Linked DNA regions of Canis lupus familiaris. The main gene of each other region encodes a partner of the protein of the gene in region 2 in a complex. Links are inferred from orthologs where the notes say so. Each region holds a gene or a part of one and is shown on either strand. Other genes may lie near its edges. The genes, in order: CFP, CFB and CFD.

Region 1 (3,246 bases), on a different chromosome or scaffold from region 2:
GAACAGATGCTCTGCCATCTCAGAGGATAGAGGTCTTAGAGCACGTGACCGCAGAACTCTTCATTCTGGAACAATCTGCCTCAAGAGTCTAGGGGCTGAGGGGGAGATCGAGGTGGCCTATCTTCTCATTCCTCTCTCTACCCCCAACAGTGGCTGGGGGCTGGGGGGCGTGGGGCCCTGTGAGCCCCTGCCCTGTGACCTGTGGCATGGGCCAGACCCTGGAAAAACGGATGTGTAATCACCCTGCGCCCCAGCATGGGGGCCCCCCCTGCGCTGGCGATGCCGTCCGAACCCACATCTGCAATACAGCTGTGCCCTGCCCTGGTCGGTACCACAAGATTCCCTGTCTCCATGCCTAAGCCTCTCACCCATCCCTGCTGCCCAGTTCCTGCTGCTAATGCTTTGCTCCTGCCTCTCATTCCCCTATTCCCAGCCCTGTTGCTTCCGCCCCACCTCTGGTCCCCCAGCCCCACATCTGATCACCTCCACTCCTTCCCCTGGGTTTTCATCCCTTCCTCTGAATCCCCTCACTGGCTCCCTTTGGTGCAAGCCCTGGTTGCCCCTGTCTGTGCAGTGAATGGAGAGTGGGGGTCCTGGGAGGAGTGGAGCACTTGTGCCCGTCGGGGCATAAACATCATGTGTAAGGCGATCCCAGGCCAGCAGACACGCTCCAGGAGCTGCAAGGGCCGCAAGTTTGATGGACAGCGGTGTGTTGGAGAACAACAAGATATCCGTCACTGTTACAACATTCAACACTGTGACTGTGAGTGTTCCCCACAGACTACACTGTGAGGATGGGGCAGCCCCTGCAGCAAGAAGGGGTTTCTGACTCTACCATGGACCCCCATGTCCCTGCCACCTCTCAGTCTCTCTCTCTCTCTCTCTCTCTCTCTCTCTCTCACACACACACACACACACACACACACACACACACCACCCTGCTGAGACCTCTCATTCTGACTCATTGCAGGGAAAGGCTTATGGTCAGAGTGGAGTACCTGGGGTCTGTGCGTACCCCCATGTGGACCCATGCCCATCCGCACCCGCCAGCGCCTCTGCATGGCCCAGCTCCCCAAGTTCTCGTAAGTGAGGGGGCAAAATGTGCTCAGGAGGGGGTCACGACAGCCATATGTGAGCAGTGATGGTGGGAGAGTCAGCTCAGCTCCCCACAACCAGGGCATCCACCCCTTGGGTCTATGGTACCTGCCTTGACGAGTGTTATCTCCCACCTGCAGGAAGAGGAGAGACACTAATGAAGCAGCTGAGAAAGAGGATACTGAGGGGGAGAATCAGTGGCCACTGTGCCCTTGGGTCTCTCATTTGGTCACTCAGCCATCCTGCCGCTCACCCAGGCTTTCCTGTGACCAGGCACTTGGCCCTTTTGGTCACCCAAGCTTGGGTCTGCCCCTAAAGCCACTCAGGCCTTCGTTCTCTTACTCATTCCTTCAGCCACCCACATCTCACTCAATGTCTCACGGCCTCAGGACCTGGGAGGCTTTCCCCCAACAATTGAAAACACACAGAACCCAGGTCCCATGGGTCCCCCCAAGGGATACAGGTCAACAAGGGCCTGACAGAAGGCAGATGAGGAACAGTTGGTACAATGGAGAAGGGACTGATACCTCGCCCCAAGTCCATGTAGCCAATCGGATCTCACCTGGCAGGAAGGGGTCAGCAAAGGCATTCCCAGTGTTAAGACTGTGAGAGCAGAGTCCTGGATACTGGTGACCAGCTGCCCAAAGTTGGTTTTTCCTGGGGGCCTAGGTGTTAACAGAGGGTAAAAACATCATCCCTTCTTTATTTCCACATACCTCGAGCCACTAGATTAAGTGAGCTACACTCCACTTGTGAAACACCTGCCATCTGGAAGTGGTCTCTGGTTCTGGGGTTTCTAGTAGGTCCTGAAGAAGAGTTAAAGGTGTTGAGTAGAGGTAGGAAGCACTTGGCAGAGTTGGGATATGAATGGATTTGATGGAGGGAACAGGGGTGAGAGTGAATGAATGGAATGCATGTCTCATGGGAGGAACAAAGGTCCAGGCAAAGGTCCAGGCAAAGACCACTCTGGACATGGGACTGTGGATAAAGTGGAAAAGAGAGATCTTGGGGCAGGCACCTGGGCCCCAAAACAAGGCCTTGAATACCAGGGCAAAGCATTTGGGGACTTTTCCCCATGGGCACTGGGGAAAGATATAAGGAGTTTAGGAGGTAAGAGAAGGTAGGTCTTGTCAACGAGTAACAATTACCAGCATTTATTGAGTACTTACTGTGTACCAGACGCCACTCTGAGCACTTTACCAAAATTAATTCATTTATCCTCACTCAGCCCAGTAAGGTGGGTATTATTATTATTCCAATTATTCTCATTTTCCAGATGAGCATGGGGAAGATAAATTGCCCAATATCTCATAGGTAAAAAATAGTGTTGGGCACACAGTAGGTATTCATTATGAGTTTATTGAATGCATTCTTACCTTCCCTGAGCTTCTCCCCTCCATTCCCCCTCTAATGCCCCAGGCCAACCATTACTGTGGTCGAAGGTCAGGGTGAGAAGAACGTGACCTTCTGGGGGAAACCTTCAGCACAGTGCGAGACGCTGCAGGGGCAGAAGGTGGTGGTGGAGGAGACTCGGCCATGTCTACACGTGCCTGCCTGCAAAGACCCTCAGGATGAGAAGCCCTAACACCTGTCTCTTCTGCCCTGATCCCCTGACCTCCCAGACCTCAATAAATGAGCCTCTTCCCCAGGAGTGAAGCAGTAGCATCTTCTAGGCCAAAAGGCACAGCACGGGCAGAGTCGCTGTGGCTTGTTGTGGAAAACAGTATTTTCCATTGCGGCCACGGTTTGGCAGGAGCGAAGGCGCGAGTACCCATCCCCTCCCCGCTGCCTTAGCCCCAGCGTCTGCCCCTCTCCCCTCCTTGCGCCAAGTCCCAGGGCGTCCGGCACATCCCTCTGCAGAGCTCTGCGTTACAGGCTTTCTGGTTGGTCACTCGGCCCGGCCGGCACTTTCTGATTGGCCGGCGTGCCCGAGGTTCCCACCCGTCGGAGCCTCTGGGCTGGCGGGTTGCGCATCAATCCGGTGCTGAGCCGCACAGCAGAGGCGGCAGAGGTGTGGCTGGGGTTGGCACTCCGCCGGCGAACACCTGCACCCACCCACTCTCAGCAGCCCAGATCCAGTGCTGCAATTAACGGAGACCCAAAGTGGGGTGGCGGTTGGCCGGGGGTGGACCGAGGAAGTGCCTACGAGGT
Region 2 (4,195 bases):
CCTCCAGGGCCTTCTTGGTGTTGGTCCCGGACTTCAACATGTGATCTGGGGAAAGGGAAGCGGTCACCTTGCCTGGTTGGCTAAGTCATCCATGACCCTGAGAGGCCCGCCAACAACTGAAATCCCACATCTCTCAGGTTCTTGAGTTGCCACCCCACTGGCTTTCCTTTGGCCACAAAAGTGACCTCCTCAGCCCCCGATAGGTCCCCGGTGACCCATATTCACCAACAAGTCTGCCGTCTAACCCCAGACGCAAAGTGGTCTTCCCTGATTTCTCACGTGGTCTCCCCACAACCACCCTGAGTCTTTTGACTTCTCTGATTCCAAAGTGACCCCTCCTCCACCAGTCCCTTCCCTGACCTCTGACCTTCATAGCTGACTTGGTTGAGTATCTTTGTGACCCAGTCGGCATCGCTGCTGTTTTTGTCCCTCACTCGGACCCAGACTTTGGGGTTTGTAGCATATGTCACTAGACCATATTTTGGCTTCACCCCATAACTTGCCACCTGTGGGTTAGGGGAGCAAAGGGTCATGGCGTTGAAAGAAGACTAGGGTTGGGAGAGGTCAGCAGCTTCTCTGGGACAGGGAAGGTTTTCCTCAGAAACCCAAAGGCTCATGGGTCACCCTGAGGTTTGCCTGGGTGATGGGGTGAAAGGTCAAGAAACGACTTCAAGTAAAAAGGAGGAAAGACAGTATAGGACCAGAGGTTTTCTGAGGTTCTGCAGCCCAGAGGGGCTGGGGACACCAGGGAACTAGTTCTAGCAGGGGCCCCACCTTCTCAATGAAGTCCCGGAGACAGTTCTTGGCTCTTGTGAAGTTGCCAGCCCCGATGCTGTCTGATCCGTCCAGCACCAGGTAGATGTTCATGGAGCCCGACGGGTCCAGGACAATCTTCCTCTTTTGCTGCTCCCCTGGGTGCCACCAGAAAAACTCAGGCTCTGGCACGCAGGGTCCTCCTGCCTCTTCGTCCTCCCCTAGTTCCCTGCCTCCCTCCGTGGTCTGCACTCAAACCTGGGATGTGGCCATCCTCAGCATCCACGCCCTCTATGGTCTCAGTCAGGGACGACAGGAAGGCTTCGGCTACCTCTTCAGGGGTGTCATACATAAAGGAGTCTGGGGAGGGCAGAAAGCAGGTCACGTGTCAGGGTGGGGGGAGGGCCAGAGACACATGGACAGGGACGGGACAGTAGGTGGGTTTCGGGGCAGGAAGGGCTCCGCAGTGAGGACGTTCTAGGGGCAGGTGAAGCGAGGGGAGGAGCTGGGCTGCACTACAGGGAGAAGACAGGGCTCTGGGGTAGGGACAGGAGGATGAAAGAGCGGGATCTGAACCTGAGGGCATGGGGCAAGCATCACCTTGGCAGGAAGGCTCGGTTCCACTCCAAGAGCCGCCTTCCTGGCATGTCCGCTGCTGGGAGCCACGCAGGGTGAGGCCTCGGCTGCAGTAGTAGGTGACTCTGTCTTCAAGGCGGTAGTTGATGCCCACCTTCCTTGTGCCAATGGGGATGCCCGGGTTGGGGCAGTAGCCCGCTACAGAAGCACGAGATGCGGAGGTGAGAGCCAAAGCCTGAGGCCCGGATGGCACAGGAGAGCACAGGAGTTGTGACGCCCCTTCCTCAGGCTGGAACACGGCCCCCAGGAGGGAGAGGATCCCGTCGACGGGGGAGGGGATGCTGCTCACCTCCATCATCACAGATGGCCGTCTGTCCGTCCCAGCGACCTGTGGCCTGGCAGGTGCGGTTAGCGGAGCCCCGGAGAGTAAAACCATCATAGCAGCGGAAAGAGATCTCATCACTCACATTGTAGTAGGACGCCCGGGGCCAGTAGTCCCCATTCTCAAACTCCTGTGGTCTTGGGCACCGAATTGCTTTGGGGGAGGGGGAGGACAAGCAGAAGTTACTGAGAAGTTAGGGCTGCTCTTGAGAGTCTCCCTCCGGGCCTCAGGGACCCTATCACAAAGACATAGGGTCTTTCTGGTCCCTCAGAAACCACGCCTACCCCTGACCCATGATGAGTCCTGCTTCTCCATGCTCCCCCTTTCTCAGTGTTCCTTTCACTGCCGGGGCTGCCTGGCACAGGATAAATGCTCAGTGAAGATTCGCTCCCTTCTTCCACCCCCCTCCCTTCAGTCCTCGACAGCTGCTGCACTTGCTCAGCATCCTCACCCCTCAACCTGCTTGGTCTCCACCCAACTCTCACAGCGTCCTAGGCTGGGCCTCGGCCACCACCTGCTCCATCCCTGCATCACCCCGTGCCCACCCTCACTGCCCTCCAACCTCTGCATTCTGCCTTCTTGACAACCATTTTGTCTTGGGTCTGCAGGGTGCTCCAGGACCCCGTGGATCTGCAGGTGCGAGCCTGCACGGGGTATGGGTAGAAGCCAGAGGGACACAGGTACTCCAGCGCCTGGCCCTCCTTGAGCAGTCTGAAGGAGCCACCTTTGATCTGTACTCCCTCCAGAGGGCAGGGGCCTTGGGGCCTGGCCTCAGACAATGGCGTGGCACTCCCACCTGAAGAGAAAGGCTGTTGAAGCCCAGCCTCACAAGGCCAAGGAAAGAAGCTGGGGGCAGCAGGAAGGGGGAGTGGTGACCCTCTCTTACCTCCAGACAAGAGACCCAGCACCAAGGATATAAGGCAGAGTTGAGGCATGAGAGTGCTCCCCATGGTGATGGGAGCAGGAGAGACTGGGGGTGGGGACAGGGTGGTCTCTGCGGGCTGGTGCTGCCTGTCTGCTTCGCTCAGCACCCAAGCCGAAACTTCAGACCTGAGTCTGGTTGCTGTCTCTTCCCCTGCCCCCCCACCACCTCCGGCCCTTTATGCAATCTGTTCTGGCACTGGCGGCTCACCCCGCCCACCTGACCCACACCACTTTCCGGAATGTCCAAGAGGGAGCCCTCCACCCCCACCCCGCAGAGCTGCCAGTCAAGGAAATAGAAACTGCCTAAGCCCTGCCCTTTGCTGCGGTGAACCTGGACTGACACCTTCAACACCACCTCTCAGCCCCAGTTCCTCCCCCAACAAGCCCAGACCACCCCCTTAGGGACCAAAAATAAAGGCTGGCTCACTCCCTGTCCACTCTGTCACAGAGCAGAGTCCAGCCACTGTTTGTGCGCCAGGGTCCGTGACCTGCCTCCCTGCAGTTCCTGGAATCATTCTGGCCTTCCTCCGCTCTCCCCTCCCCCCGCCCCCGGCCACCCCCCAGGTAGAGGCACAGACAGATGAGGACATTGTCGATTTTTATTAATTTCATAACTGGGTAATTCCACATGAGTGAAAGGAGAGTGAGTCAAGGAAAGGAGAGGGTGCGCCCCTGGGGATTCCCCAGCCTGGATGTGCTTCTCTGGGGTTGCCGGGAGCACAGATGGGTCATGGGTCTGAGTTCAAGGGTGCGAGACAAGACAGATGGCAGATGCTGGCAGGACAACAGAGGGATGGGTGGCCACAATTAGAGGGGTAAGAAGTTCAGGATATCCTCCAGGTGCTGCCGCAGCCAGGGCTGCAGGCGAAAGAGGTTTATGTGAAAATCTCGTGGTTCCTTGCCCTTGGGGGGCCTCTGGCGTGAGTTTTTATTACTCTTGCTACAGGGGTTGTAGAGACCCCAACTCACCAGGCCCACCTGGAAGAGGGAGAGAAATGGGGTGGGAGGCTGTCACAGCCTCAGCTCCAAGCCTCAACCTCCCCAGTTCCTTCAAAGGCCGCCCTCGTCTCCCTGCAAGGCCATGATCTTGTAACCCCATTCCTGTAAGTATCCCCCTTCTCTCCTCACCTGAAAAAACCTGTGTCTCCGCTCAAGGAAAACTGCTCCCCCAGATTCTCCTGCCAGAAGGAGGGACAAGAAATTGTCATTCTGACTCTCACCCTGCCCCTGTCGTCAGGGCAGTGCACCACTGTCTTGGCATGCATGCTGGCCGCAGGGACGGCGGTGGTCTCTCCCTCAGCCATCCAGGCTCGGGGTGGGGGTGGGGGGGTGGGAGGGACTTACCCTTGCAGGGATTGTCATCCTTCCCTGTCCCACTGCATAGGAACTGGTCTGTCACCACCTCTCGGACATCCTTCAAGTTGGGGAATATAGCTTTGTCTTGGGAAACGGCCTCAATACAGCTTGTCCACTGCAGCAGGGGCAGAGTGGGACAGAGGGATGGAATGAGCAGTCCCAGGGGCTACCTACAGTTGCTAGCCTTGGAGGGGAGGTGGCATG
Region 3 (3,952 bases), on a different chromosome or scaffold from region 2:
TGCCGTGGCTCTGGGGCCAAATGCAGGCTCTGCCCGGGGGCTCCCTCGGACCCGAGCCTCAGTTTCCCCACGTGGGCCGTGGGTCACAAGAACAGCTTGACTTCAGAGGGTGCTCAGTCCGGAGCAGGGCCCCGCACACGGTGGGGAAGACCCGACGGAGGAGGCCGGACATCGCTGGGCGGAGGCGGCACCTCCGCGTGGACCCCCACCCAGCCCCTCCATCTCGGGTGGAAGACTCGGGGCGCCCCCGTGCGGCCAAGCGGGGACCTGCGCCCTCGGGTCCCCGCCCCGCGGCCGGCGGCGCGTGCTCAGCGGGCGGGGCTCATGCAGGACAGGACTTTATTGCTCGGCCCCCGCGCCCGCCGCCCCCCGGGCCTCCTCAGGCGGCCGCGCCCCCGGCCATCACGCCGTCGATCCAGGCCGCGTAGCTCGCCACGCGCGTGTAGATGCCGGGCTTCTTGCGGTTGCCGCACACGCGCGAGCCCGAGGTGACCACGGCCTCGGCCACGCCGCCGCACACCAGCGGGCCCCCGGAGTCGCCCTGCGGGGACGGGCCGTGAGCGCGGCGCCCGCGGCCTCGCCCCTCGCCTGCGCACCTGGTCTGACCCGGGTCGGGCCCCGCCCCGCGGTGGTCCGGCCCCGCCCACCCCGCCGGCCCCGCCCCTCGGTGGCCCCGCCCACCCCGCCGGCCCCGCCCCTCGGTGGCCCCGCCCATCCTGTTGCCACCGCCCCTCGGTGGCCCCGCCCATCCCGTTGCCACCGCCCCTCGGTGGCCCCGCCCACCCCGCCGGCCCCCGCCCCTCGGTGGCCCCGCCCATCCTGTTGCCACCGCCCCTCGGTGGCCCCGCCCACCCCGCCGGCCCCGCCCCCTCGGTGGCCCCGCCCACCCTGCTGCCCCGCCCCGCCCGCGCACCTTGCAGCTGTCCCGGCGGTTGCTCTCCGCGCACATCATGCGCTCCGTGATGGTGCCGTCGTGGTACGTGCGCAGGTTGCAGGTGGCGCGGTCGAGCACCGGCAGGATCAGGTGCTGCAGGCGGTCGGGCCGGCGGCCCGTGTGGCTGACCACGCCCCAGCCCGCCACGTCGCAGCGCGTCCCGGCCGCCACGTCGCGGTCCTCGCGCTGCCAGCGCAGGGGCTGCACGGCGGGGCCCAGCTCGGCGTCCTCGGACAGCTGCGGAGGGGGCGGCGCGGGGTCAGGGCGGCGCGGGGCGGGCCTGCGGCCCAGGTGGCGGCCCCCGCGGCGGCCCAGGTGCTCACCTGCAGCAGGAGGAGGTCGTGCTCGATGGTGTCGCGCCGGCTGTCGGGGTGGGGCACCGCCCGCAGCACGTCGTACCAGCGCTTGGACGGCTCCGGCTGCGACAGGGAGTGCGCGCCCAGGAGCACCCGCACCTTCCCGTCGGCCCTGGGAGCGGGGTTGGGGTCACAGCCTCGTCCGCGGCGCCCCGCCCCGCCCCGCCGCGCCCCTCCGCGCCCGCCGCGCCCGCCGCTCACACGTCCTCCAGGCAGTGCGCCGCGCTCAGCACCCAGCGCTCCGACACCAGGAAGCCGCCGCACACGTGCTTGCCGTCCACCTGCACCGACGCCATGTAGGGCCGCGCGTGGGACTCGGCCTCGCTCCCGCCCAGGATGCGCCCACGAGGCTGCGCGGCTGCGGGGGGGAGGGGCAGGCGGGGGGCGGGTGACGGGGGTCTGGGCCAAGCCCGCGCCCCACGCGGCGCCTCCGGGCTCAGCGCGAGCTCGGCCCGCGGGGCTGCGTCCTGCGTGGGCCCCGCGTGGGCAGAGCTCGGCCCTGGCGCTCCCGCCTCGGGGAGTCCCTCGGGTGCAGAGCCCCCGTCCAGGTGGAGCCGCGCCTCCCCTCCCCGGCTGCCCGCCCGCCCGGTCCCCTGGGCCCAGGTCCACTCACCACACAGGGCGGCTCCTAGCAGCACCAGGGGCACCAGGGGCACCGGGCCGAGGCGGGGGGCCATGCTGCCGTGGGGCCTGGGACGGGCACGCGTGTGAGCCGGGCGGGGGGCAGCGCTCCGCACACCCACCTGCTGGCCTGGCCCTGTGGCAGCCGAGCCCAGGACGCGCAGAGGCCAGAGCAGGCCCGGCCCCGCTGCCCCCCCATCTCCCCAGGGTGCTCTCCCCGCCCCAAGTTTTGCAACAGCAGCTGGAGACCACAGTTTATAAACAACCAACTTCCTCATATTTCCGCCCTTCTCTTGTTTCTCTTCCTCCCCCAACTTGGAGGAGAGGTCAGGGTGGGGATGGGAGGTGGCCTGACATGCTCGTCCCCAGGGGCACCGGGGCCTGACACCCCAACGAGGCGCATATTAAAGAGGCGGTGTGGAGGCAGCTGGAGGAACTGTGGGCTACAAGTGACAGAAAAGCCAAGCCGAGGGGCACCTGGGTGGCTCAGTCGGGATGATGCGTGCGTCTTCGGCTCAGATCACGATCCCGGGTCCTGGGCTCCCCGCTCAGCGAGGAGCCTGATGCTCCTTCTGCCCCTCCCCACTGCCCATGCTCATTCTTTCTCCCTCTCTCTCTCTTTCTCTCTCTCTCTGTCTCTCAAAGAAATAAATCTCTTAGAAAAACTACCAAGTTGAACTCGGTAGAGTCTTCAACAAGGAAATTTAAATGGGAATTTCAGGGGGGCCTACCTTCAGGTGTGGTTTGATCCAGGAGCCTGAACTATCTCTGTCTGTGGTTTCTCCTTTCCTCCTCGGTGGCTTTTCTCCTCAACAGTCTCCCTCGTTGTGACCCCAAAAGCCCCAGACCCAGCCCAGTGGCTGGGCAGGCCCCTCCCAAATCCTCCATCCTTCCAGCCAACTTGTCCAGGCCGTGCTGATTAGCTGAGCTTCCCTCACGTGTCCCCTCCCAAACCAATCGCTGTGAGCAAGGGATGGCAGATTCTGGTCAGCCAAGGGTTACATGGCCCTCTCTAGCAGGGGGGGACGACAGATCCACGTCTCACGAACCCACAGCGGGGCCAGTGCTGGGACCATGAGGGTGGGGTGGACCTTGGACGTCCCCAATGGGCGCATTGCGCAACGTTGCCCTTCTTTCTCTTCGCCGTGGACTGTTGCATACACAGAGAAGGATGGACAGAACACGACCGTGATTTGCTAGATCCTGACAGGTTTCCTTGCTGAGGTCAGTAGCCAAACAAGTCCTGTAGGGGATGGAGCCCAGCTCCTGGAAGAGGTGGGCATCTCAGCAAGGCTTGGGGACGACTCGGCAAGACGGCGGTTTGACAAAGGGCCCCGAGCACCCCCAGGGGCCCGGTGGCCGCGGAGACACCGCCAGGGTATATGGTGCAATACTAGGCTGAAGGGCCAATCGCACGGCAGCCGGACGCCGCGTAGGGAGGGGGCCGCCAGGGACCGGCCAAGGCCGTGGGGCCCCAGGGCCAGAGCCCCGCCCGGGAGCCCCTGCTGTGATCTCCATCAGGAGTGCAGGTGGGGGGCGGCTGGGACGCGGACCCTCGCCTCGGTACTTCCTGCAGGGAAACAGGCTCAGGGTGGGGGCGCCTGTGGGGCTCGGCGGGTGAGCATCTGCCTCTGGCCCAGGGCGTGACCCCGGGTCCCGGATCGAGTCCCGCCTCGGGCTCCCCGCACGGAGCCTGCTTCTCCCTCTGCCTGGGTCTCTGCCGGTCTTCCTCTCTCAACCTCTCTGTCTCTTTGTATGTCTCTTATGAATAAATAAATAAAATCTTTTAAAAAATAAAGAAAATTTAAAATTAAAAAATAAACAAAATTAAAAACTTAAAAAAAAATTAACGGAAACGGGCTCAGGGAAGTTGACCGGTCACAGAGCTGGGGCTCCAGCGTGGGCTCCCGGGTGCGGCTTCACCCCTGCCTGGACCTGTACCTCGTCACCTGTCGGGGACACAGAGGGCCAGCCGGGGGCCCTCGGGGCGCACCTGCCACAGCGCAGGCCTCAGCAGCTGCCGTGGTTCCGTCCGTGAGCC

The links.
Region 1: the proteins of CFB (region 2) and CFP are in contact, whole or in part, in a crystal structure (PDB 7NOZ), measured with the Homo sapiens proteins. The link is inferred for Canis lupus familiaris from reciprocal best matches to the Homo sapiens genes CFB and CFP. Residues at the interface, in NP_001701.2 of Homo sapiens: Glu54, Gln56, Ser78, Thr316, Tyr317, Leu349, Ser351, Met394; in NP_001138724.1 of Homo sapiens: Arg329, Arg330, Asn331, Lys333, Pro341, Met420, Val421.
Region 3: the proteins of CFB (region 2) and CFD are in contact, whole or in part, in a crystal structure (PDB 2XWB), measured with the Homo sapiens proteins. The link is inferred for Canis lupus familiaris from reciprocal best matches to the Homo sapiens genes CFB and CFD. Residues at the interface, in NP_001701.2 of Homo sapiens: Glu298, Ala301, Ser302, Ala332, Asp333, Ile469, Asp470, Glu471, Ser472, Glu518, Tyr519, Lys585, Asp758, Glu759, Asp760; in NP_001919.2 of Homo sapiens: Asn157, His158, Ala159, Gly160, Arg161, Arg162, Arg182, Thr183, Asp186, Arg200, Val228, Cys229, Gly230, Asn231, Arg232, Lys233.

What each region holds. Positions count from the first base shown.
Region 1 is NC_049260.1:41,447,668-41,450,913, reverse strand, and holds the end of CFP (properdin), read left to right. Parts: intron 1-150; coding exon 151-324; intron 325-574; coding exon 575-763; intron 764-970; coding exon 971-1,082; intron 1,083-2,514; coding exon 2,515-2,680; 3' UTR 2,681-2,746; downstream 2,747-3,246. UniProt on the Homo sapiens protein: A positive regulator of the alternate pathway (AP) of complement. It binds to and stabilizes the C3- and C5-convertase enzyme complexes. Inhibits CFI-CFH mediated degradation of Complement C3 beta chain (C3b).
Region 2 is NC_049233.1:1,532,027-1,536,221, reverse strand, and holds the start of CFB (complement factor B), read right to left. Parts: upstream 2,801-4,195; 5' UTR 2,662-2,800; coding exon 2,598-2,661; intron 2,508-2,597; coding exon 2,274-2,507; intron 1,865-2,273; coding exon 1,679-1,864; intron 1,528-1,678; coding exon 1,354-1,527; intron 1,114-1,353; coding exon 1,012-1,113; intron 912-1,011; coding exon 775-911; intron 507-774; coding exon 368-506; intron 46-367; coding exon 1-45. Other genes in the region: complement C2, read right to left, coding at 3,443-3,613, 3,764-3,813, 3,980-4,106.
Region 3 is NC_049241.1:58,264,719-58,268,670, forward strand, and holds CFD (complement factor D), read right to left. Parts: upstream 2,801-3,952; 5' UTR 2,643-2,800; intron 1,981-2,642; 5' UTR 1,968-1,980; coding exon 1,492-1,967; intron 1,403-1,491; coding exon 1,258-1,402; intron 1,172-1,257; coding exon 914-1,171; intron 542-913; coding exon 380-541; 3' UTR 323-379; downstream 1-322.